3 linked regions of the Rattus norvegicus genome follow. The protein of the gene in region 3 interacts with the protein of the main gene of each other region in a biochemical or structural test. Links are inferred from orthologs where the notes say so. Each region holds a gene or a part of one and is shown on either strand. Other genes may lie near its edges.

The links.
Region 1: the proteins of Cask (region 3) and Atp2b4 form a complex in vitro, tested with the Homo sapiens proteins (2 studies listed by BioGRID and IntAct, with this or other methods). The link is inferred for Rattus norvegicus from reciprocal best matches to the Homo sapiens genes CASK and ATP2B4.
Region 2: the proteins of Cask (region 3) and Cntnap2 form a complex in vitro, tested with the Homo sapiens proteins (2 studies listed by BioGRID and IntAct, with this or other methods). The link is inferred for Rattus norvegicus from reciprocal best matches to the Homo sapiens genes CASK and CNTNAP2.

Annotation. Positions count from the first base shown.
Region 1 is NC_086031.1:47,754,459-47,762,157, forward strand, and holds the start of Atp2b4 (plasma membrane calcium-transporting ATPase 4), read right to left. Parts: upstream 4,419-7,699; 5' UTR 4,252-4,418; coding exon 4,059-4,251; intron 1-4,058. UniProt on the Homo sapiens protein: Calcium/calmodulin-regulated and magnesium-dependent enzyme that catalyzes the hydrolysis of ATP coupled with the transport of calcium out of the cell. By regulating sperm cell calcium homeostasis, may play a role in sperm motility.
Region 2 is NC_086022.1:75,106,039-75,113,737, reverse strand, and holds the start of Cntnap2 (contactin associated protein 2 precursor), read right to left. Parts: upstream 4,381-7,699; 5' UTR 3,682-4,380; coding exon 3,585-3,681; intron 1-3,584. UniProt on the Homo sapiens protein: Required for gap junction formation. Required, with CNTNAP1, for radial and longitudinal organization of myelinated axons.
Region 3 is NC_086039.1:11,885,456-11,893,054, forward strand, and holds part of Cask (peripheral plasma membrane protein CASK), read left to right. Parts: intron 1-4,266; coding exon 4,267-4,382; intron 4,383-7,599. UniProt on the Homo sapiens protein: Multidomain scaffolding Mg(2+)-independent protein kinase that catalyzes the phosphotransfer from ATP to proteins such as NRXN1, and plays a role in synaptic transmembrane protein anchoring and ion channel trafficking.

The sequences.
Region 1 (7,699 bases), on a different chromosome or scaffold from region 3:
GTCATCCTGTGTGGAGAGGGACCGTGTGGAAGCTGGAGATATAACATGAGATGGGAGATCCAACCAACATTTATCTACATCCACATACAGCAGAGATCGTCTTTAGCCATTTGAAAGAAGCCTTGTGCGAGCGATTTACAGTTTATTTAAAGCTCCCTTTTCTGACCTCTCTTCTCTGTGCCCAGAGGTTCCTCCTACTTGCCAATCTACCTGCTCCCCAGAAAACAATGTTTCCCCTAACTGGGGTACGGTGACAGAGAGGGCATATGGAAGGCTGAGAACATGCCTCCCTTTGTCCCTGAGGCAAGGGGAACCCCACTCAGTCAGACTCAACACATGTTCCCTTCTCCTTTTCTGTCAAGCGGAAGCGGACAAGAAAAGTTGGGATGGGAGAAGGAAGGGCTTATGAGGCCCAACTCTCCCTGAGGGTCTATGGGCAGTTAATGATTGTGAGAGTGGGATGGGAGAGGCCAGAGACCTTTTCCCTCTAGGGCAGGTACCCACTGGTAGGGTACCTATGCTCCGTAAATGATCTGTCACCCATGTTTATGTAACAACTCTAGTGAAGTCCAATGGGTCTTTAGGAGACCAGGAGGAAGAAGAAGAAGAAGACATGAGAAGTGAGAATAGAAGGGGGATGAGTTGGGAAGACGAAGTGATCGGGGTAGGGAGGTGGGGACCAGAGAAGGTGATGGCAGATGTGATAAAAATGCATTATGCATGTGTATGAAAATGTTGTAGCCCACTATTAGATATAGTTGATGATATGATATTATAAACTTTTTTTTAAAAGAAAGGAACTGGAACTGGGAGAGAAGCAAGAAAATGAGAAGGGTTCCATCGGTGCTAAATGACAAGCTGGCTTTGACAAAGCGTCCTTTAAGCTCCCAGCCCTGTGTCTTCACAGTTGTTTATATAAAACCACAAAGACTGAGAACTTGGGGCTGGAGTGATGGCTAGCACTGGCTCCTTTCTAAGCGACCCGGGTTTGGTTCCCAGCACCCACATGATGACTTACAACCATCTGTACCTCCAGCTCCAGGGGACCTGATGCTCTATTTGAATTCCACAGGCAACAAGAAGCTTGCACATGGAACATATACAAATGCACTGACACACATAACATCAAACAAACAAACAAACAAATGTAGACTGGTGCCTGAGGCTTATTCTACATCTTTCCTGGCCTTTCTTATTTCTCTAAATGTCCCTCCTCTTTTCTGGTCACTCTCTAAACCTTGTGGCCAGTCACAGTCAAATGCTGAAGTAACCCAGATCCCCACTCCCAGGTCCTCTTTATTCTGACCTACTCTAGCCTGAGGGGCAACCTCACTCCAACACTAATGCAGTGCAGGAACAGTATTAGCATGAGCATTGGGCCCAATGCCATGTTTTACCAGACGTTAAAATGCAAAACCAGGGCTGGAAAAATAGCTCAGCAGTTAAAAGCACGTCCTGCTCTTGCAGAAGATCTTGGTTCGGTTCCCAGCACCCACATGTCAACTCGCCATTGCACGGAACTCTAGTTCCAGGGGATCCATGACACCAACTTCTGGCAACTTAAGGCACCAGCATTCATGATGCACATGAACTTACTCAAATTTATTTGTGTGTATTCACATACACACAAATAAAACATCTTTTAAAAATGCAAAACCCATTTTTAAGTCCTCTGTAATTCTGTACAAAAGAGGCAACAGAATATTGATAGACTGTAGGTCAAAATATAGAAACTGCTCCATTATTTTCTACCCGTTACAAAGACCTCGGGTGGGTCATTAAAACCCTTCAGCCTAGACAGAAAATTCTGAAATTAAGTGCTAGTCAAACAACAAAGTTAATGAAAGGTAAGAAAACTTAATTTAAAAGTAAGTCATATCTGCCTCTAGAATTGTGTAAACAGAGGCTAACAAAACCATGTTAGTGTTAAAAAATCTCATGGTCCTTCAAGGCTCCATTTTAGCTATAATTTACAGAGTTCTATCTACACTAAGCATGTGCTCAATCCAAGCAAATATCAAAGAATAAGGGGGCACTCTATTTTCCTTACTACTACCACTGCTCCCTAGCCAGGCTAGTTTCAAACATCCAGGTTCATGAGTGTCTCCTCTCAGTTCCTGAGGAAGAAAGGCTTTAAGTGCACGCTCCCTGACCCCAATCTACTCAAACTTACTTCATGTTGGTTTCTAACTAGAATCTAGACTCATTCTCGTATTCCCGTTATTAATCTGCAGGAGCCTCCCACAGGTGACAAAATCATAGGAGGCTGAGAGGCCTGTGAATGGTCTTCTGGTAACAGACTGGCTTCTTAGAGAAGGTAAATTGTCATAGCTATATGAGAAGGTTAGAGAGATGGGAGGAAAGTCTGGATCCTGTTCTGAGGAGCCCCCAAGTTCTAGCTTACTGGATCCCCAAGTCCCACTTTGTCAAAGAAACATCTGACCAGAACAATAAAAGAAGGAAAACAGGAAGATCCAGCTTCAGTTCTGATGTAGGTCTGTAAACACCTGTAGTGTCTCAGGTAAGCACAAGGAGGTACAGACTTTCCTTACAGCCTACACTCTGTATAAGTCACTGAGAAAGTCACTTAGGGGACAGGCATGGTGCTGCATGTCTGCAATCCTAGCACTTAGAAAAAGCTAAAGCAGGAGGGTCCCAAATTCCCAGTCAACTTTGTTAGCAAAGTGAGACTGTCCCAGGGAAACAAACATAGGAGGGGATGGTGGGTGTGGCAGCGCATGCCTATAAGTTCTAGTGCTAGTGATTGGGAGGCCAAGGCAGGATGATTTGTTTAAGTTTGAGACCAGCCTGGGCTACGAAGTGAAACCTTGTATCAATCAATCAATCAATCAATCAATCAATCAATCAACCAATCAATCATAAAACCTCCAAACAACAACAACAATAACAAAAACAAAGACTTCAGCTTGCAGGAAGTGGACGGTATCCAAAAGGTAGTATTAGACACACGTTAGAAGGCCCAGGGAGCTGACTGAGAGCACCCAAGCACTGTCATCCTAAAACCAGGCCTCTGAGATGACAAGGATCACAGAGAATAGACAGCAGCTGCAGTCACACATACCTTAGCCACACTGCAGATTATGTTTCTTTGAAACTCATGGCCACTCACACTTTAGCAAAATCTCCAGGAATATGGCCTATATTTAATTTATTCAACACCTATTATCAGTTTGCACATGCACACGCAAACACACGTGTGCACATATGCACTGTATTACTTAATACCAGTAACCCTGTGGGCAATGTATAAACGTTATTTCCAATATCTGAACTCAAAGGGTATAAGATATATACCTGGCCTCTGAGGCCAACCAAATGGGAGACTGAGGTAGGAGAATCATAACCTCAAATCCTGCCTACACTACAGAGTGAGTTCAAGTCCAGTCTGGGTAATGCAGTGAGAATCTGTCTTAGATTGAAAAGTAAAAAAGAGGGCTGAGGCTACAGCTTAGTGGTGGTGGTGGGGCTTGTACAAAGTCCTGGGTTTGGTCCCTACATGGTAGGGAAAATTTTTTATTATACAGGATTAAAAAAAATCAGTAACCCCAGGACAGACAATGCCAATTTGTCCAAAGACATATTTATAATATGGCATCCCATTTTCTGTGTACAATAAGGTACTCAGATGGCTGCAATACTATATCCTGTAGTCTTTTCTCACCCATTGAACTTCAAGGTCAGTGTGAGGAAGATACCCATCTTATGCTCTCCTAGAATCAAAATCTGAAAGAACGGGGAAATTGATCATACTAACAAGAGCATCTACATCACCAATAAGAGCCCGCCATACTATGGATTGATACTTAAATCGGAGGAGAGAATGATTTAGAGAATCATGGTTCCTAAACATGGCACTTGTAGAACGCTCCTCATGTCCTCTCTTCAATGGCCATCTCTGCTTTAGATGACTGCTCTTCCCACCAGACAAAAAACAACTTATTGGGTCTCCAGAAATGTACTTTCCTTAGAAGCTAGACATAATATTTCAAAATTCTAGTCACTGTCCTCCAATCCCCAACCCTTGAAACGGCCTTTACCTTCTACAGGGGAGGTTTTCAGTCTTGCGCAGATTTCTTGTACACTTCCATAGTGGGCACTGATCTGGGTCACTGCATCAGCTGCACGAAGCTCCATGAGCTTCCTCAGGTCCATTAAGGTGCAGCCAAACTCCCCTTCATAGCTCTCAGCTACCGAGTTGGCTGGCAAGTTATGTCCTGATGGATTCGTCATCTTGCCTTCGGTTACCAGACTCTCAACCAGAGAAGATGTAGAGTTTCCCCTCTAACTGAGCAGTGTCTCTTGCCTTCTCTTCTTCGTTTCTTCCCACTTTTTTCTTCTCTGGGAGCCCAGTTAGGGGATAAATTGACAATATCTTGTGCAATAAGTTTCAGAGTAGCAACACCAGGCCTAGAGATCCTTTCTTCTGTATTAAGTCTACTAGTGAGAGGAGGAAGAGGTTGGGGGAACTTAGTAGAAGACGGACGTAGTGTCACGATGATTGGTGTCCTCTGGGTAGAGACGGAAATGGTTGTCCAGAGTACGTAGGTTCCTAGTTTAGACTACTTGTTCATATAGAAGTGTAAACAGGATAGGCATGTTACCATGGGGGCAACCTTAGCAACAACCAGCAGTTTCGATGGTAGGGTGGCGTCAGCAGAAAGAGGAGGGCTCCCTGGATAACGATGATGGCTAGGCCTCTGGAATAGAGATGCAAAAAAAGACAAAAGGAAACAATTAGAGCAGCCATGAGGATCCAGGCTCTGCAAGTTACTCTCCAGCAGAAGGGTTTAAATGACAGTTGGTGTCTGAACGGAACTGAGAACTGAGGCCTAAGCTGAGTGTCCAGACTCATGGGAAGCCCGAGGTAGGCCTGCTGACTGGTAAGACTTTCTCCCAGAAACATTATCTTTAAGTCTTACTTCTTCTAAATCAAGCCACACAAATTAACTTAAGAAACTCGCATATAAAAAGTTATGACCTCTAATGCTCCCCCTACTTCATGGGCTGACTGATTACAGAATACATTTGTCTTCTCTTACCTGTAAGATGTGAGAAGAATCAGAAAAGGAATCTAGACCCAAGGGGGAGAAGAGTGGTGGCTTGCCTGGGTGCCATCTACTTCCAACACAGACACTTATAAACCAGGAAGACAAGCTGATTAAAGGTCTCTTAGAATGTTCAGCCTTCAGTGGTATGAAAATTTGGAAACCTACGGCACCAAATTTTGGTCTCAGAGCTAAGCCCTCCCAGAGGCTTTTCCTGGTAAGGAAAGAATGAAACAGGCTAACAGTTTATGGCACAGGGCGGATTCAGTTTTTCTATAAGGGGCAGGTAGACCTCTGAGGAAGAAAGATAGTAAGCCTGAAACCTATGAGTGTTCAAGTTTCTCCAGGGAAGGAGAGATAAGAGAGCGGTTTGTTCAGTCCATAAACAGACACTGTCCTTAGAGGGAGAGAGCACCAGGGGAACTCACATTAGCATAGTGACACATCAGAGAAAAGTAGGCATTTTTCCCTCAGCAAGATAGTTGTTACCTGGAGCACATGCTGGCTGAGGTGGGCTGGCACAACTAGGTGTATGTGGGGATGAGCGGGGGTGAAGGTGGCTTAGAGACTGAGCTGAGCCCTGTGCTCAGCTGCAGACAAGGGCTAGCTACATGTTGTACAGTACATAGGGCCTCATTCTGGTTAAATAGCAGCCCTGCAATTGGTTTATGCTGCCAGGGCCTGGTAAGGCATTTCAATTGGCTGGGTAATAAACAGATGCTTTTTTTTTTCTTCCAGAAGGTTAACCTGACTCTAGAGTCATCAGAGAAATACTTGATTCTTTTTATCAATTATTTTCTCTAGAAATCCCATCTGGCCAAAGCCCCTGCTGATTCTAACCAATCATGTTTTAGGCAGGTTCCTCTGGGATGGAGGTTATCACACGTCTCCCCCTCAGCCAGCATGCCCCATCCACCTCCCCAGTACCCAGGCTCACAATAAGTTGAGCAAGCAGGGAATCCCAAGAAGGTTCCCTGAGGCAGTAGGTCTAACTCCATCATTAAGATTATCGTAGGAGCAGGACCCACACCAGCAGTCGCAGTCCCTTCCCATTCAAATCCCATGGAAAGAAGATCAGACGATGGTACAGGAAGGGGACACACATTCACATAACTATGCCGTCACAATTGCCTAATTATTCTGCTAATTATTTTTGTTAATTTCTTCCTGTACCTAACTTACGTATGCCTTTTTGTGTGTATACATGTGCTTAGAGGACATAGGTAAACTTTGGGCTAGGGTCTCTCGTTGACTTAAAGCTCCCCATACACTAGGCTGTCCAGCCAGCGACTTCCAGAGATCCTCCTGTCTTTGCCTATCCAGAGCTGGTACCAGCACATGCCACCACCTCGCCTTTTATGTGGGCAGTGGGGACTGAACTCGGGCCTGCAGGCTTGTATGCAAGTGTTTTACCAACTAAATTCTCTCCTCAGTCTCTGTGCCTAATCTCTAAACTCGGTCACCAGGTATAATGGTGAACTCTTATGATCCCAGCACTCAGGGAGGTCAAGGCAGGAGTGTTACAAGTTTGAGGGTCAGTCAGAGGTACAAGGCAAGGCCCTGCCTCTAAAAGTAAATGTTATAGGAAGTATCTTCTAGGAAAAAAAACGTGTGTGTATGAGTATGCACAGGCTTCTGTTATTCTCAGGGATCCAGTGAGTATCTTGGAATGCATCTCCCCCACCAACTGCCAGCGGACTTTATCCTAGTTTAGTTCTCCAAGCCTCTAAGGACTGAGAGGGGCTGCAGCAGCAGGAGAACCATCTTGACCCTTAACCTTTGAGGGGGATGTTCAAGACCGTGCTGACGAGCATGAAGCTGGAAGTCAGACTTTAATTTCCTTTCTTGCTTTTTCTCTTCCTTTCCCTCCTTCCTTTTCTTTTCTTTTTTCCCTGAAACAGAGTTTCTCTGACCATCCTAGAACTCACTCTGTAGACCAGGCTGGCCCCAAACTCCAAGATCTGCCCCTGCCCCTGCCCCTGCCTCCCTAGTGCTGGGAGTAAAGGCTTTTGCTACCACTGTCTGGTACATTTTACTTTTCTTAGTTTAAATTTTTTTACATATATGGTTATTTTGCCTGCGTGGGGTGTCTGTGTAGCACGTGCACGCCTTGTAGCTAAAGAGGCTGGAAGAGGATTATCAGATCCTCGGGAGCTTGTGTTACAGAAGTTGCGAGCTGCCGCGTGGGTGCTGGGAACAGAACCTGAGTTCTCTGGAAGAGCAGCCGGTGCTCTTAACGGATGAGTCATCTCTCCAGCCTGTACAGATATAGTCTTGCTATGGAGCCCAGGCTGTCAAGAGGCTCACAATACAGCCCAGGTTGGCTGTAAACTCATCACACACACACACACACACACACACACACACACACACACACACACACACACCTCACCCCACCTTCTGCCTCCTAAGGGGTGGGATTACAGGTACGAGCCGCTATTCTTGATGATTTTTATCGTTTCCGTCCCTGCCCGCTGCAGCGTTTAGTCTGTGAAGCCATGGATTCTTTTGCCCAACTTGTTCACTGCCTTCTCCCCACCACCTAAAAGAGAGCTTGTATCTCGTGGGCACTTTGTTGATATTTTTATTACTGAGTACACCCGTAGCACGTTCAGAAACACACCTGCTACCCT
Region 2 (7,699 bases), on a different chromosome or scaffold from region 3:
CACCAGCAGTGGGCTAATAGATGTGCACTATGAAATCTGTATTTATGTCGGTCCTGGACATTACAACTCAGATCATCTTGCTTGCACAAGAAGTAGTTTGGCAACTCAACAATTTCTCTAGCCTATATTTAAGATTTTTAATAAGATTAAGGACTAGAGTTTGCTTAAGAATTTTAAGCAGGGAATGTAGGTATATTATATACTGTGTTTGTAACAAATAAATATATCATTTTTAAATGAAAATTAATTAGATATCATAGGCCTTTTATCTTTCAATCAGTATAAAATTTATCAGAAAGGCTTATTCATTCACTTTTAAAGATGTAAAGTAATTTTTGCTAATAGAATTTATCAATCCAAACAAATGAAATAGAAATAAAACAGAAGAATTACCATACATTGAGTTTAGGTGTTAATGCCTATAAAGAAAGATATGTATTTAACTCTGATCAATTAACAGTTTTTTTCCTACTGATTTGCATTACCTAAAAATAATATAACCCTTCCTCCTATGAGTCCTGTTTCTCAAAAGCATGTTTTCAGTTAATTTTTTTTTTTGGCTAACAAAATCATTCTGTTTGAACTAGAAACATTATAATGACATTTGATTTCATATTATTTTGGCTGATTATATTTGAAAATACCACTTAGAGGAAAAATATATGACTTCAGTAAAAAGTGATCTATAAACTATTCTCATATTTTTATGACAGCCACTTGAAACTATACAGAAAAAGGCCTAGCTATGACCTTAATGGTAAAATAAAATTTTTAAATGTTGTTACAAAGATTAAATATGTATACATTTACATTTCTATTGATATCTATTTGATTTCATATGTTATGTTTCTATATTATATGATATATATTTAAACCACATATAAGCATGTATATACTTCATCTAACAGTATATTTATGAGATTATTTAAATACAAGAAAAACTCATTTTGCAATGTGAGTCAGGTAAATCATATGAGAATGACTCCATGAGAATCATAAAAATTAGCTTTTATTGGTAAAACTTACATAAGCAAAAATTCTGTAATATTTAAGGATCAAACTTACTAAGTCCTAGTTTAAGCCCCTTATCATTTAGGGCAGCTCTGTAAGTCTTAAAAGCATGGTCTAATCAATTTACCCCCTAGTGGTGAAGTGTTCCGAGTTTCTCATAGGAGCCTTCACAAGAAAGGAAGCATATACTTCTCAGACCACGATTGCATCATTCTTATTATCACAGATAAATAGATCATATTTCATTCAATCAAAAAGATATGTTTCTTTTAATTTAAGTTGAAATGCATGAAACACAGGATGTAGAACCTATATGAACATGCCCAGATCAGCAAAAAGAAAAACTCATTAAGCCAGGGTATGCTGGAAATGTATAATAGAAAACTCAAACTATTAATCATCTATACGAGAATGCCTCTCTATACTACAAAGTTATTCTGAAGCAGGATGTTTGAGCATAGCCATCGTATTTTCCAAACACAGACTACATGGACTCTTCCTTTTAGAGTTTTCTACTACTTTCTGTGTCATGATGACCCCTCCTGGTTGAGATGTTCATTAACTTAGATTCATGGAGTTACAATTTTTCTGCTTTAAGCATTTCTACGTATTAAAAACATAAGTATCATGCAGTGTTTCAAAATACAACACAAAATGCATATTTTTCATTATGTGCAAAAATAAATTTGAGAATTCCATATCATCGGTAAATTTAGGTATCACTCATTACCATCCTCACTCTGATGTTTTAGGCAACTTTTGTTTGTGTTTCAGAGTTCGTATTCATATATAATAAAACCTTATCTTAACCTAATATATTTTAATTATTTAGGTTTTGAAATAACAATTAAATGAACCCTAAAGCTCAAACACGAGAATTTTAAACATATTGACTTTGGTGTTGTTCTTCACTGAATTCTAAGCAGCAAAAGCTAAGCTCATATTTCTGAAATAACTTTTGAATCTTTGAACTATACCAATGCAATAAGGGCAAATATAAAATTCTGGATGCATAGTGAATGATTCAGATCGACCCGTTTCTACTCAGACACACAGAAAGATGAGATACAGAATTCTGGAAGCTACTGGGAAATAAGGACTCTAACAGGAAAGTACAACGTATTTTAACTTTTAGTAAGTCTGTACAAAACGTGGAAGCCAATTCCATTCCACTGTACAAGCATATTTTAAAGTGAAAATTAAAATTCCACCAACATAACTTACTAAAGGTAGCTTTACAATTTCCATTTAAGTCTATAAAATCAACACAGATAAAATAGCACATATTTTTAGATTTGTGTATATTTTGAGATAAATAAAAGTTTCAAGTTCACAAAAACTTAGTTATGTTCTTTTTTGCCACCTCTTTCTTTAAACAACGCAGAAGAATCTCATGACGTATACTTGGGAATATGTCCAAATACTACTAATCATAGCACTGGTGATGATTGTCAATCAAAACATAAAAGAAAACTATTTCATGGCTGCTCTGAATATTTTATACGGTGTAATAATTATATTAATATGGAAATACAGACAAAGGTGAACATTAATGCAGCCACAGAATCTATAAAGAGGTATGGGGTGCAAATCATGTGTGAAGCATCTAGAAACTTCTGAACTTATGTATCCTAAGTGGAGAATATTTCCCCTTGAACTCCATTCTCCTTCAACAATGGACTCACCCAATCTCACAAACAAGGCTATGCTTAGGAAAACTGTGCAAAGTGTTACAGAATCAGTCCAGCGTTTAACTCTTTCTCAGACAAAGCCAACTATACCTTTCCCCTCTTCATACACAGTATAAATTTCTAAAGCAATGCATAAAATTGGCCAGATCTTCCATTTCTTCCACCCCCCTCCTTAAAAGCACAAATTTTTGAGCAGTTACATCATTTTCTTAAAAACTTTCAGACCATCTCTTATGCCATTGCACTGGCTGTCCCAAGTCCTAGCCTGCATGAGTCATGCTCATTACTCCAAACCACAAAGGAATTAGTGCAGTGTCAGTCTCGATATTAGCCTCACTTTAAAAATACATACAATTAAGGAAGGGTTAAATGAGCATTAACTTTTTAGGAGGGCCAAAGAGATTAGTAAACGCATAGGTGCCCAAACTGCTTGAAATATGTTCCTCTTTCTTCCTCAGACCAACACAAGTAAAAGCCATCAATAAAAATCAAAAACTTATGCTAGTTTTCTGTCCTAAGTAATATGTAATCATCTCCATACTGCACTGATAAGTATCAAGAAACGGCTACTCTCATCACTCTAACCAAGCACTTGCGGAGCAATCTTCAAGACTAGAAACAACTTTCCAGAAGCATCCAGCACTATGAAAATCTCCACTGAACAAGGAGCTTCCTCGGTTTGGAGTTTCTCTGCGGCAGTGGCTACAAACAGGAAGTATCCTACACACACACACACACACACACACACACACACACACACACACACACACATGAGGGACAAGAATTGAGAATGCACCTCAGAGTTGATACCCGGGCGCCCTTACATCAATGCGGCACTGAAGTGACTCCAGTAAGGAGCCAGGAAAGCAGAGAGCTACTTACGGAAGGAGGAGGGAGCTGTCCAGGCTCTGCAGATGAAGCTGCTGAGAATCCAGAGCGAGAGCGCTGCCCTGCAGCCTGCTCTCAGAGAAATCACCATCCTTAGCCTCCGGGCCAGTGGTACTCCAAAAGCTCGCTGCAGAGATGCAGTCTGCCTCTCTGTGAGGTTCTTGAAGTGAACCGGTCTGTCCTCAGATGCGAGAGGAAGCCAAGCTCCTCCTGCTTTGCTTCCTCTCCCCTCACCCTCTCTAGGTTCCAGTTCTGGGCTGGCAGCAGCAAGGGAGGCGCAGCCTGGCTTTCCCCTCTCTGTGGGTCTGGTCTCTTGCTCTGAGAGCCAGTGAAATGCCAGGGGAAGAAATTCAAACCGAGAAGGAATAGGAGGGGTGAGAGAGAGGAGGGGACTGACACCTACCCCGCCCTCTCTTCTGGAAAAAAAAATCAAAGGACGCGTGGGGGAAATCTGGAGAGAACTCAGACCGTAGGAAAGAACCGAGAGCGATGGGTCCGGTGATGCTGCGGTTGCCACTGCGGGCGAGCGCTTGGGTGGCCACTGGGCAGCGCGACTCAGAGGGTTTTCCAGTAGGCTGTTAGCTCCCAGGCTGAGATCAAGGATGTATGGAGCTGAGGCAAGCCCCCGTACACGTTCGGCCTCAGCGTGGCGCGGCACTAAGAAGCATCGCTGGAGAGAGAGCTCAGCAGCTACCACCGCAGCCGGGAGCTGGAGACTGCTGCCTCCAGCAGCGCCTGCAGACCCGGGCGAGCCTGGCGAAGGGAAGCTTCCCCGCTTCTTCCCTTCTTGTTCCCCTCCCCTCCCCTCCCCGGCCCCTCCTCCTCCTCCTCCTCCTCCTCCTCCTCCTCCTCCTCCTCCTCCTCCTCCTCCTCCTCCTTTTCTTTTCCTACTGCACTCCTCTTGCTGTAACAACCTTTCTGCCCTGCCTTCGTTTGCTTTGGAAGCAAAGGAGAGAAGGAAGCTAGTGGCTCAGGTCCATTAACTGGAGTCGGGGCCAAGGCTGAAGAGATGCACCTCAGTCTAAGCGGGAGGCGCTGCTGTCCGCGGTGCTGAAGTTGATTTGCTGTGTAATCTAAGAACCCTGCTCCAGACCTGGCTAGTCCCTGACCCAGCAGTAGGAGGGAAAAACCTCTTGCTGGGATGCTTTCTCTTTGGCTTCTTTCCTCCCCTTCAGATAGAGATGGTACAGGCTCCCGGAGCTTAGAACTCCCAAGAACCACAATCAGGAGTCCGAAAGGCAGGTCTTCCGAGTGATCCTAACACCAAATGACAGGTCTAAACATCCTGGCTGGCTGTAGCAGAGAAAGATAGGATTGTTCAGAGGTACCTAATTCAGGTGTTTTAAATGTAATTAATTCACATTTCCATATATATATATATATATATATATATATATATATGGATGCAGACATACATATATACACATTCACCAAACACATGATGCTGAGAAAACCACACACCACAAACACAAACAACCCTAAAAGGAAAGGTAGAGTAAATATGTTGTCAAATGATAATTACTTCGGTGTGCTTAAGTGTTGAAAGTATTAATAACTAAGAAGGTCTATAGAAATGCTGCTTTCTCTAATCATTTAGATGATTTTACTAATAATTCTCAACCTTACCCCTCAGCTCCTATCTAGCCACATTCTGCACTGATTTGTTTTCCTAGCATCCAGTCCAAGAAAGTACTTGTATTATTTCCTCCCCAAAGAATCAATCCTTTCACAGCCTTTACTGACACAATTAAGAATTATAGATCTCTAAATACCTAATGATGTTTAGGGAGGTTTGAGGAGGAGTAACGCTGTCTTTCAGAGTTATGCAATAAACATACATTTGCCTTTTGTGATAAATAAATTTTTGTGATGATTTCCCCACTCTGTGAATAGAATGTGAATTTTAATGTTATGCTTATATCTTAGAGAAGTCTACTGTAAACAGAGCTATGTGTTCACTACATAATCAGTATGGTGTTAAAGGGCCTGAGTCAGCATTAATTTATCTCTCCCCCCACCCCTTATTTGATTTTAAGTTCTAGTAAGAACTACAGATTGAGTAAAGTCTGTAAAAATAAAAAAACATAGTTGACCAATGATGGAGTAGAACAATGTTATGCCACACATTTTAAGTCACTCTTCTCATCATAAAATAGGGATTTGTGCAAATTAGAAAATGTCTTTTTTCTATTTGAATTCCTCAACTCCGATATGTCAGTGAACACATTCCAGAATTCTATATACAACTCTCATCAACCAATTCCAAGAGTTTAAAGGGACAGAACATTAGAAATACATTGTCAAAGAGCACAATTTTTTACAAGAGTCAATTGTTTAAGTATGACTTTCAAGTTTAACGATTGTATTAGGTGCCACCAAGGTGGTTCTAAAGTACTTTAGGTAAATTTTTTTTTGAAAAAGGGAGCAATTGAGAGTATTATGTTTTTAGTGCTTCAATGTATCTCTTTCCAGATGTACAATAAGCAGATTTGTACCTAATATACATGTTATAATCGTGAGCAAAACAGCCTTACTAGATATTATCTACTTAATTGTTTCCTAATATAAAATAATTTTCTCTAAAATTATTCTAATCAGTTTATCATCATTTCTTTGAATGACCCAAATCAAACAAACATAAAATAACATATTCTAGTGTTTTTAAGAGGCACAGACCAAACTGTGTCGTTTTCGTGCTTTCTAACATGGGCTGATTTTATGTGTGACCAAAGAAGTTACTAAATGAATTGAGTGACGTCATGAACAACATTACACAGCTATGTTTGCTTCTCAATCTTGATTCCTAATATTAGAAGACATGCAAAATATCGAAAACAATAATACTTCAATAGTGATTTCATGGGTGCTAATGCTTTATTCTTATTTTTCACACTATTTTATTATTGAAATCATTGTAAAGTAAATTCATGTCTGTTAGTAAGAAGGTTGAAAACTCTTTTTTATTTGTCTTGTTAAGATACTGATAATATAATTGAAGGGCAGTAGATAGCTTTGCTGATGTCAATTATATATGATAACCATGTTTCAGTGACTGGAGTCTGGTCAGTGATTGTGTTTGAAAATGATTGAATATATTTGGCAAAGAACTTAAATGTCACATTAGCTGGATACAAAGTACATCAAATCTTGAGGGTTGTAAAACTCCGGGCAATGGCACACAGAGAGAATATATGGACATGGTTGAAAAAGAAGCAAGGCGAATTGCAATATTTTTGAGAAAAAAGATTAGTTCCTTTCAATCATTATGAACAAGTACTTGACAGAAACAACCTGACAGAAGAAAAATGCATTCGAGCCCAGGTTTCTAAGATGTCAGTTCGACATGATGAAGAACATCTGGTAGAAAGTTATGAATATATCTGTTAGTATGAGTGAAATCAAGAAGTTTGTTTGTCTTAGTCAGATACTGATAATGAAATTGAAACGTTGTCAATAGGCCTACTGATGTCTATTATGTAAGAAAGTATTTTGAATCCCACTAAAGTTATAGCTAAGTGGTAAAAGAGCTAAAATAATTGGACTCTAATACTATCTTTAAGCAAAAACATTTGTTGAATGGGGCACTGTACATCAGTCACCTGTCATAGAAAAATAAGCCTTGGAATATCCATAAAATACAATTTTATTTTAGAATACAGACTACCCAATTCTGTCAAGAGCATAGGCCCTAGCACCAGTACAGCCTTTCACAACTGTCTTTAGCTCCATTTTGATGACTTCTAAGGCCCCCTTTGGCCTCCAGAAGCATCTCATGTATGTGTTGCAGGTAAATATTTGGTTGTGGTACCCATTTAGAAAGGGAATACTGTCACTCATACACTACACCCTATGGAAACCTTTCCAAAAGTTTTGTTGAAGATAATAGAATATATCTAAAAGACTGAGATTCCTAATCTAGTGAGAAAGAACTAAAAGTTACACTAAAACATGGTGTATATAACATTTGTCTGGAATCTGGACTTAGCAAATCTTTCAGGCCTTGGGTGTTATATAATGTTTAGTATCATAATCAAACATTAATAGTTAGGAAGACTGACAGGGGAAAAGTACACGCTTAATATTGCTAAAATACTACTTTATTTTTGTGT
Region 3 (7,599 bases):
TTTTTGTTACTTTATGGTGAAACTGAGCCCTCTCTTCCAGTTCTCAGTTTCATATTTTATATTATAAAATCCTTTTCTTTGGTAACTATTTAAGTTCCAGTTGTCTAAGATCAAATCCAAACGTCAGTCGTCCAGAACTTCTCAAACCTGGAGAGGTTATGGTCAGATACTGGTTCCAGTTAGACCCACACTTTATGTATAAGGAAAAGGGGAGAAGACAAGCTAAGTGGATGGCTTCAGATCATTTGGGCAAAGCCCTCAACTCCCATAAACTGTTCTAATCTTTTTACAATGGTCTTTTCTTCAGTTGTATCACTCTGTATCCTTCTATGACCACCATACCTCATCAGGGAAAACGCTTCAAGAGCCATGATTTGATGTCACTCAAGTTATTTAAAGGTGCAGCCTGTTCCACTGTTGGAAGAACGCACAATCAGAGGCTTTGTTCTTGGCCTTACCATTCTTTAAGACTGGTTTTTTGGAGTTTAGGGGTGGGCAGCTCAGAAGTAGATGCTTGCTATATAGAAGTATTACCCTGGGCTCCATGCACAGAACAAGAGACAGAGACAGGAAAAGAGGATCTATTCTGTTAGAAAGCTTACACTGTGAAGCAGGGTGAAATGAGACAGGCATTTTAAACCCTCTTTAATTGCAAGAAGACAGGACTGTATCATCTATTAAATGTCCATAATCTATCCTCTTAAATATGTTCCCAGTATCTATCAGAAATCTACTACAAGAAAAGAGTAATTTAATACCTGGGTTTGTTTTATGTAACAAAACCTAACCTGCCAAAAACTGGAATTCTGCCACTCCCTAACCTATACCCCACAAAAATACTTGAACTTAGTTAAAAGTAACCAAAAATATTGAGTCTATAAATATTTCCACTTTTTCACCAGTTCTTTTCACTATTAAAGTGTTTTCTTGGTTGATCTCTTTGGCTTGATTGCCCCTTTCAGCTCTCTCATGTTCCCTAAAACTATTCTTACATTTGAGTGTTAAAGTAGATGAAGGCTTCAGATGCCATTGTGCTACAAATGGGGAAACGGGGCCCAAACAGAGAAGCAACAGCCTGCCATCTGGCACTGTCTCTCAGTCTGATCTTGTGCAGACAGTTTAACATAAGCAGGAGAAAAGCAGTTTCTAAGTCTTTCTGATGTTGCTACTGTGAATTATACATTTCACAAAATGTCTTCTAGAGAGCAGTCACATGAGCATTTATTCAGAATAACCATGTATGGGCTGGGGATGTAGTAGCTCAAGTGGTGAAACTCTGGGTGTGATTCTCAGCACCAAGTAAAGCAGGTGTGGTGGTGCAGGCCTGCAGTCCAGCACTAGGGAGGCTTAGGCTGGATGCTCAGAAGTTCAGGGTCATCTTTAGTTATAGAGAGAGTTTGAGACCATCCTCGGTTACAGGGGCTGTACTGAAAGAAATGTTAAGGGAAGAAAAACAATAATTACATAGATTGCAGATTTCTTTCTAGTTGCAGCAGTGATATAAATCATGAGCTCTTAGTCCTCTGCAGAAATCTGAAGAAGCTGCAGAAGGAAAAGGAGGTTTGCTTCTTGTCTCTGCTGAGGTCTGGACTGTTCAGACCAATCATTCTGCTGCAAAGAAAAAATGCTGCAGAAACTAAAAGGGTGTTTTATTTTGCTTTGTTTTTTAATGAGCTTGAAAGTGCTGAATAACTCAAATGGTGATGGGGAACCCAACAACCAGTTCTTCTATGAGAACCTTTCCTCAAAGCTGTAAGCAAAATCTTAGAGTACCAAGTGTCCCGTCTTACCAAGAAAGCATTCACTATTATGCCAAAGAACCAAGAGTAAGACCACAGGCTTAAGGAAGATGGACAATCTATGAGGAACCCTTCCTCACATTGTTAGGACCACAAAAGTTGGTATACCAGAGATTTAAAAAAACTGGGAAAGGGGATAACATTTGAAATGTAAATATATAAACTATCCAATAAAAAATTAAATAGAATAAAAATTTTAAAAATACTAAGTAATTGACATTAAATGTTAGTTTATCAAAAAAGAAAAACAGAGGCTGGAGCATGGTAGCATATACCTGTAATCCCAGTACTCAGGAAACTGAGGCAGGAGAATTTGAGTCCAGTCTGGCCTGTATAGTAAATTCAGGACCACCCTGGACTACATGAGACCCTGTCTCAAACAAAAAAGGAGGAGGACTCTAGATTATTTCCTTGTTTACAGGAAAATAGGACATATTAAAGACATAGAGGCACAGTTTAAAAAACAATTCAAGGGGTTGGGGATTTAGCTCAGTGGTAGAGCGCTTGCCTAGGAAGCGCAAGGCCCTGGGTTCGGTCCCCAGCTCCGAAAAAAAGAACCAAAAAAAAAAAAAAAACAATTCAATCAGCTGAGTATTGTAGAACCCATCTGAATCCCTGTACATTGTGCACTAAAGAAGGAAAATTTCTAGAAGTTCAAGGGTAACCTAATCAACATAGTGAGATCCAGGCCAGCATGAGCTACAGAGACCCCCCTCTCAAAAGGAAAAATAAATTCGACTCTCCTGAAACTACAAAATATAAAACTGGTTTCTAGTTTACTGAGACAAGGGTAGGGATATAGCGCAATGATAGAATGCTTGTCTAGAACTATGTAAAGCCTTAGGGGGAATTTTGAACTGGGAGTGGTAACTCATGCCTGTAAATCCCAAAGGAAGATAAATTTAAAGCCAGCCTCATTTTCAGTGACTTTGAGGCCAGCCTGGGCTATATGAAATGTAGTTTTTAAGAAGAAAATAAAAGGTATCAGGCAATATGGTACACATTTGCAGCTCCAGCACTTAGAGGTACAGGCAAGAGCATCAGCCAAGTCACCCTTAGCTTCATAAAGAGTTTCAGGCCACTCTTCGGTATTCAAGAAGCTGGCTCAAACAAAACAACAGAAAATTCAATAAGGCTTTAAAGAAGACAGAGAAACATTGCATTAATTGACTGTAAGACTCAGTATTGTAACGGTGTCTATCCTTCCCACATTAATTGTACCAGTGCAATCTCAATTAAAATTCCAAGCTTTGAAACTGACAGACTAATTTTAAAGTTTACATGAAGAGGTTGGAGAAATGACTCAGAAAATAACTAAGAGGATTAACTATGCAGTCAGGAATCCGAGTTCATATCAGCACCCACATAGCAAGCCAGGTGTTTCCCTCTAACCCCAGCTCCTAGGCAAGCGAAGACAGGGAAATCACTACAACTTGCTGATTTTCAATTTATCCAAGAAAATATGAGGAACAGGTTCAGGGAGAGAACCTGCCTCAAAGGACTAGGTAGAGAGTGACAAGGATACCCAACACTTAACTCATACATACATACATACATACATACATACATACATACATACATACATACATAATTATCTTTAATTATTTGTGCCTAGAAACCCACAAATTCAGGAATGGCCAGGATGTTCTTGAACAAAGAACAAGGTCTTATTCAACCAAATATGAAAACTCACTAAGGTATAGTAGTTCAGAAATGCTAAGCTAGACCAACTAAAGAGACAGAACCATAAAGCACTTTTAAACCTAAATAGCTCCTTTCTGTGTAACTAGTAGCATAGCGCAGCAGTGAAGAATGCTCTTACTTTTTAGTATAGCCTGCTAGAACAATTGAATATCTCTAAGAGCCAAACTAACTGGTAGAAGGCAGGGCTTCTTAACAAAAGAGAATGGACTCCTACTTTACATGATAAGAAAAAAAATTCTTACACAATAAAATATGAAAGACAAAACTATAAACTTTAAGAATTTCTGTGTGATTTGTGATGCAGTTTAGTTTATCAGAAATATTGCTTGGGTTGCTGTATAAGAAATTCCTAGAAACTTGCCTGATACTAAGCACTAAGCACTTAAAACAGGCTAATGCGTAACAAATCAGGTTGCAAAACAGGCCTGCCTTGACTCACAATCCCTTGATCAACACCCTGAATCTCACAACCATGTATTAAGACTTCTGACCCTTATATCAGCTAATGTGGACCCAAGGAACACAGCAGTTTTAACATAAGCCTGTAGTCTTAAGCCATTCCTAAGGGTTGTCATGAAAGCCGAAGAAGCCTCTTTATGTCCATGATGTCCAGAACTGAGGAGGGATAGTCATCCTGTTGTGTGTAGCCGTCAAATGACTTTTTCTCTTTTTTCAACATAAAACTATGATTAACTTTGTTGGATTTTTCCCCCCTTTCTTCCTTTCTTCCTTCCATTCTTTCCTTCTTCTCTTTGTGTACTAGGCGAGTAGCTTGCATTGCCATGGAGAAGACCAAACAAGAGCAGCAGGCCAGCTGTACTTGGTTTGGCAAGAAAAAGAAGCAGTACAAAGATAAATATTTGGCAAAGCACAATGCAGGTAGGAAAAGCATGTCTGTTTCTGAGGCGGGGTCCAACATCTCCGAGACCTAAACAGATACAGCATTTACATTTGCTCTTCAGAGTTCTCTTTCCAGAACATTGTAGCCTACAAGACCTTGACCAACTTGCAGATGTGTTCAGAAGCCGTGCCTCCTACCAGTTAGTTTGTAGAGCTCTACTTTCTAGGACAGAGGTGCTGTTGGGAGGTGGCACCCCTCTATGATGAAAGGAGCTCCACAGGCTAAGTCCTCCCATGAGAAATAAGTGCTGGGGTGCGCTGAGTCCCTGGGGTTCTCTCCTCTCTGACAGACAGACATTGTCCTTAAGAGGATAACCGTCCCTCCTAGTTCCTCTTAGTTCTTGGATTTGGACCCCTGACAAATATTAGAGACAAAGATACACAGAAGGGCTGTGCTACAGAGGGTTCTGTAGCTGATTTGAAAGGGCATGGGTAACATGGATACTAACTTGGGTTAGTTTCTATGACTATTCACCTTCCCCCATTGTACTTTCTTTTTTTTTCCATCTTTAATAAATTGGGTATTGCTTATCTACATTTCAAGTGTTATTCCCTTTCCTGGTTTCCATGCCAACATCCCCCTAACCCCTCCCCCTTCCATTCTATATGGGTGTTCCCCTCTCAACTTCTCAAAAACACAAGGTGATTAGCTAGGCTCTCCCCTCTGACTGTATTGAAGCTGGGGTTCAACTGAATCATGGGGTTGACTGTTGTGTTAAAACTGAAATGCTCACCAAGTAAAGTGTGATCGGTTCTTGCACTTGAATTCCCAGAAGACTCACAGGATATCATTTAAGCTGAAAGAAAATATGTGACGGTATACTTAATTTCATTGACTTCTCAATAAGGGACTTTTCCTGAGGAATTAAAGCTTAGCATTAGCTTTGTTTCCAAGATTTCAGAAATAACTCCAAACTATCAAGCACTTGGCCCAAAAAAGCCCAGTGACTGCAGTCATCCATGTGCAATTCAGTCCATCTCTCTCTGGGAAATCTAGAAAGCAGCATTCTCTGTGCAGCATTCCAGCATGCATCAGCATGTGCTTGGAAAAGTTCTTTAAGACTTCTGCAGTCTCCTTTCTTAACCAGAAATTAAATGTAAGCATTTGTGAACTGCCGTATAATCCAGAGTGAATGTGAATTTCCACATGGATTAAACTGGAATGCTCAGTTAAATGAGGGCTTTTTGCCTTCCCACCAGTTACATTATGCACACTTATTCCCAATGAGGAGTATACTTGGTTTTGTATTACCACGGTGCACTAGCCACACAATGGCTTTTGTGTTTGTTTCATAAAGGAAAGAAATACATAAAGCCATGTATGTAAATAGACACTAGCAACCACTCTGTTCAAGTGGCACTGTTTGAGAAACTAAGTGTTCAGCATCAGCACAAGGTAGCTTAGCTGAGATATCAGACTTACTGCCAAGTCTTCTTACTTGCCTTCTCTTCTGTCTGCTTCCACTAGTGTAAGACAATCGAACCAGCACACAGGAGATTAGTTAAATCTAAATCACATTAGTTAAATACAAAACAATTAATCAGCTGGGAATTGTAGTAAAGTATTTGCCTAGCATATGCAAGGTCCTAGGTTCCATCCCCAGCATCCAAATGAGAGAGGAAATTTTCTAATTTAACTTGTCATTTGTATAGTGTTAAATGATATATAAATACTGATGACACTAAATTAATTCAAACCTACAAAAGCAAAGAAATAGCCAGGTAAATCTGCTAATATTTCATTATTTTTATACTCTACTAATTGGAAGGCATGTAGACATGAGTATTCACTTTGTCGGTATTCTTTAACTTGACTCTGAGGATAACTAAGTGAATTGATCAGAAAACCTGACCTCTCTAACTGTTGACAAAGACTTAATGAAATCATTGGTCGAAGAATTGTGCCAGAGAATCAATATCCAGTCTGACAACTAGTGGTTCTCATTTCCTATGGTTCATGTTTTCTGTTCTTGGAACACTGGGTATCACTGTGCTCCTTCCATCATACCCATTTGGATCCCCAGTGGTTAGTGTAAACTATTCCTGCAGATGTGACTATCAACCTAATAGGCAACATGAGTCAAGATCATTAGTTCACCCAAGCGAGTGTATGACTTAGCTCACTGAGGCCTTCAAACCAAGCAATTAGGTTAGCCTGTCAAGGCAGTCCTTTCTAATGCTAAACCTCAGTGGATCTAAGGTTCTTTCACTGCTCAGCCTGGCAAAAAGGTACCCTCGTGGTAGATCTGAGTTATCTTGCAGTACCCTATGTCTCAGGCTGTAGCTCCCTGAGAAACACTCCCTGTCCAGGTTGGAAAGTATTTATCCTTGATTTTAGACAATGGGATACAATTGTTTTCCTCTCCATTCTTTGGCCTGACATCCCCATATCTCAGAACCATGTGCCAAAGTTCTCAAAAAATCCAACTAAGGAAAAGTAATCTTAATTGCACAGGGGACAAGGCCACCACTCTTTTTGTTGCCCTTAGTATTTTCCTAACCATTGACCTCCTCTAGGCATCCAGATAGTCCTTGTCGTGCTTGAGGGATTGTCCTACCTGTCCATGTTTATGGCCTTCAAAGGAGTCTGAGTACCTTGGAAGGAAGGTCTTTGCATACCACTTACATTTCTTTCTAAACCTTTGTGTTTCTGCTTGTCTGTGAGTCCCTAGACAGAAAAGTGCTGTCAGGGTTCCTTCCCTGCAGAGTCATGAGCTCTCCTTCCTTTCTCTATTCTGTCCTGTCTGCAATAAACCTGCCCAACTAAGCTTAGCATTTCTTTCTGTCACCTTCTTTCTCTTCAGCACTCCTCTACTTTATTGATGAACGTTTCTCTCTTGTTTATCCTAAAATCCAGAAGAACCCATTGTTTATTGTGTTGCAAGAAACCAGGCTGTCAGCAGACAGTTGTGTACTTTGGCTAGGATGAGATTCCCTCATGAATTATCAGATTACCCATATAAAGAATTGCTGTAAAATACTGTTAGCCTCTATGCTATGACAACTTGGAAATAGTGTATTATTTCATCGCAACAACTAGCCAGATACCCACAGATCAAACTATACAGCTCAAGGATTTCTTTCAGAAACTGACTATGAAATACAGCTACTCTGTTCTTTCTGTGGTGTGCAGTAATTCAAAATAAGGCTATGGGTTTTGTTACCCATACCAAGCCTTTGAAAATTCACCACTCAT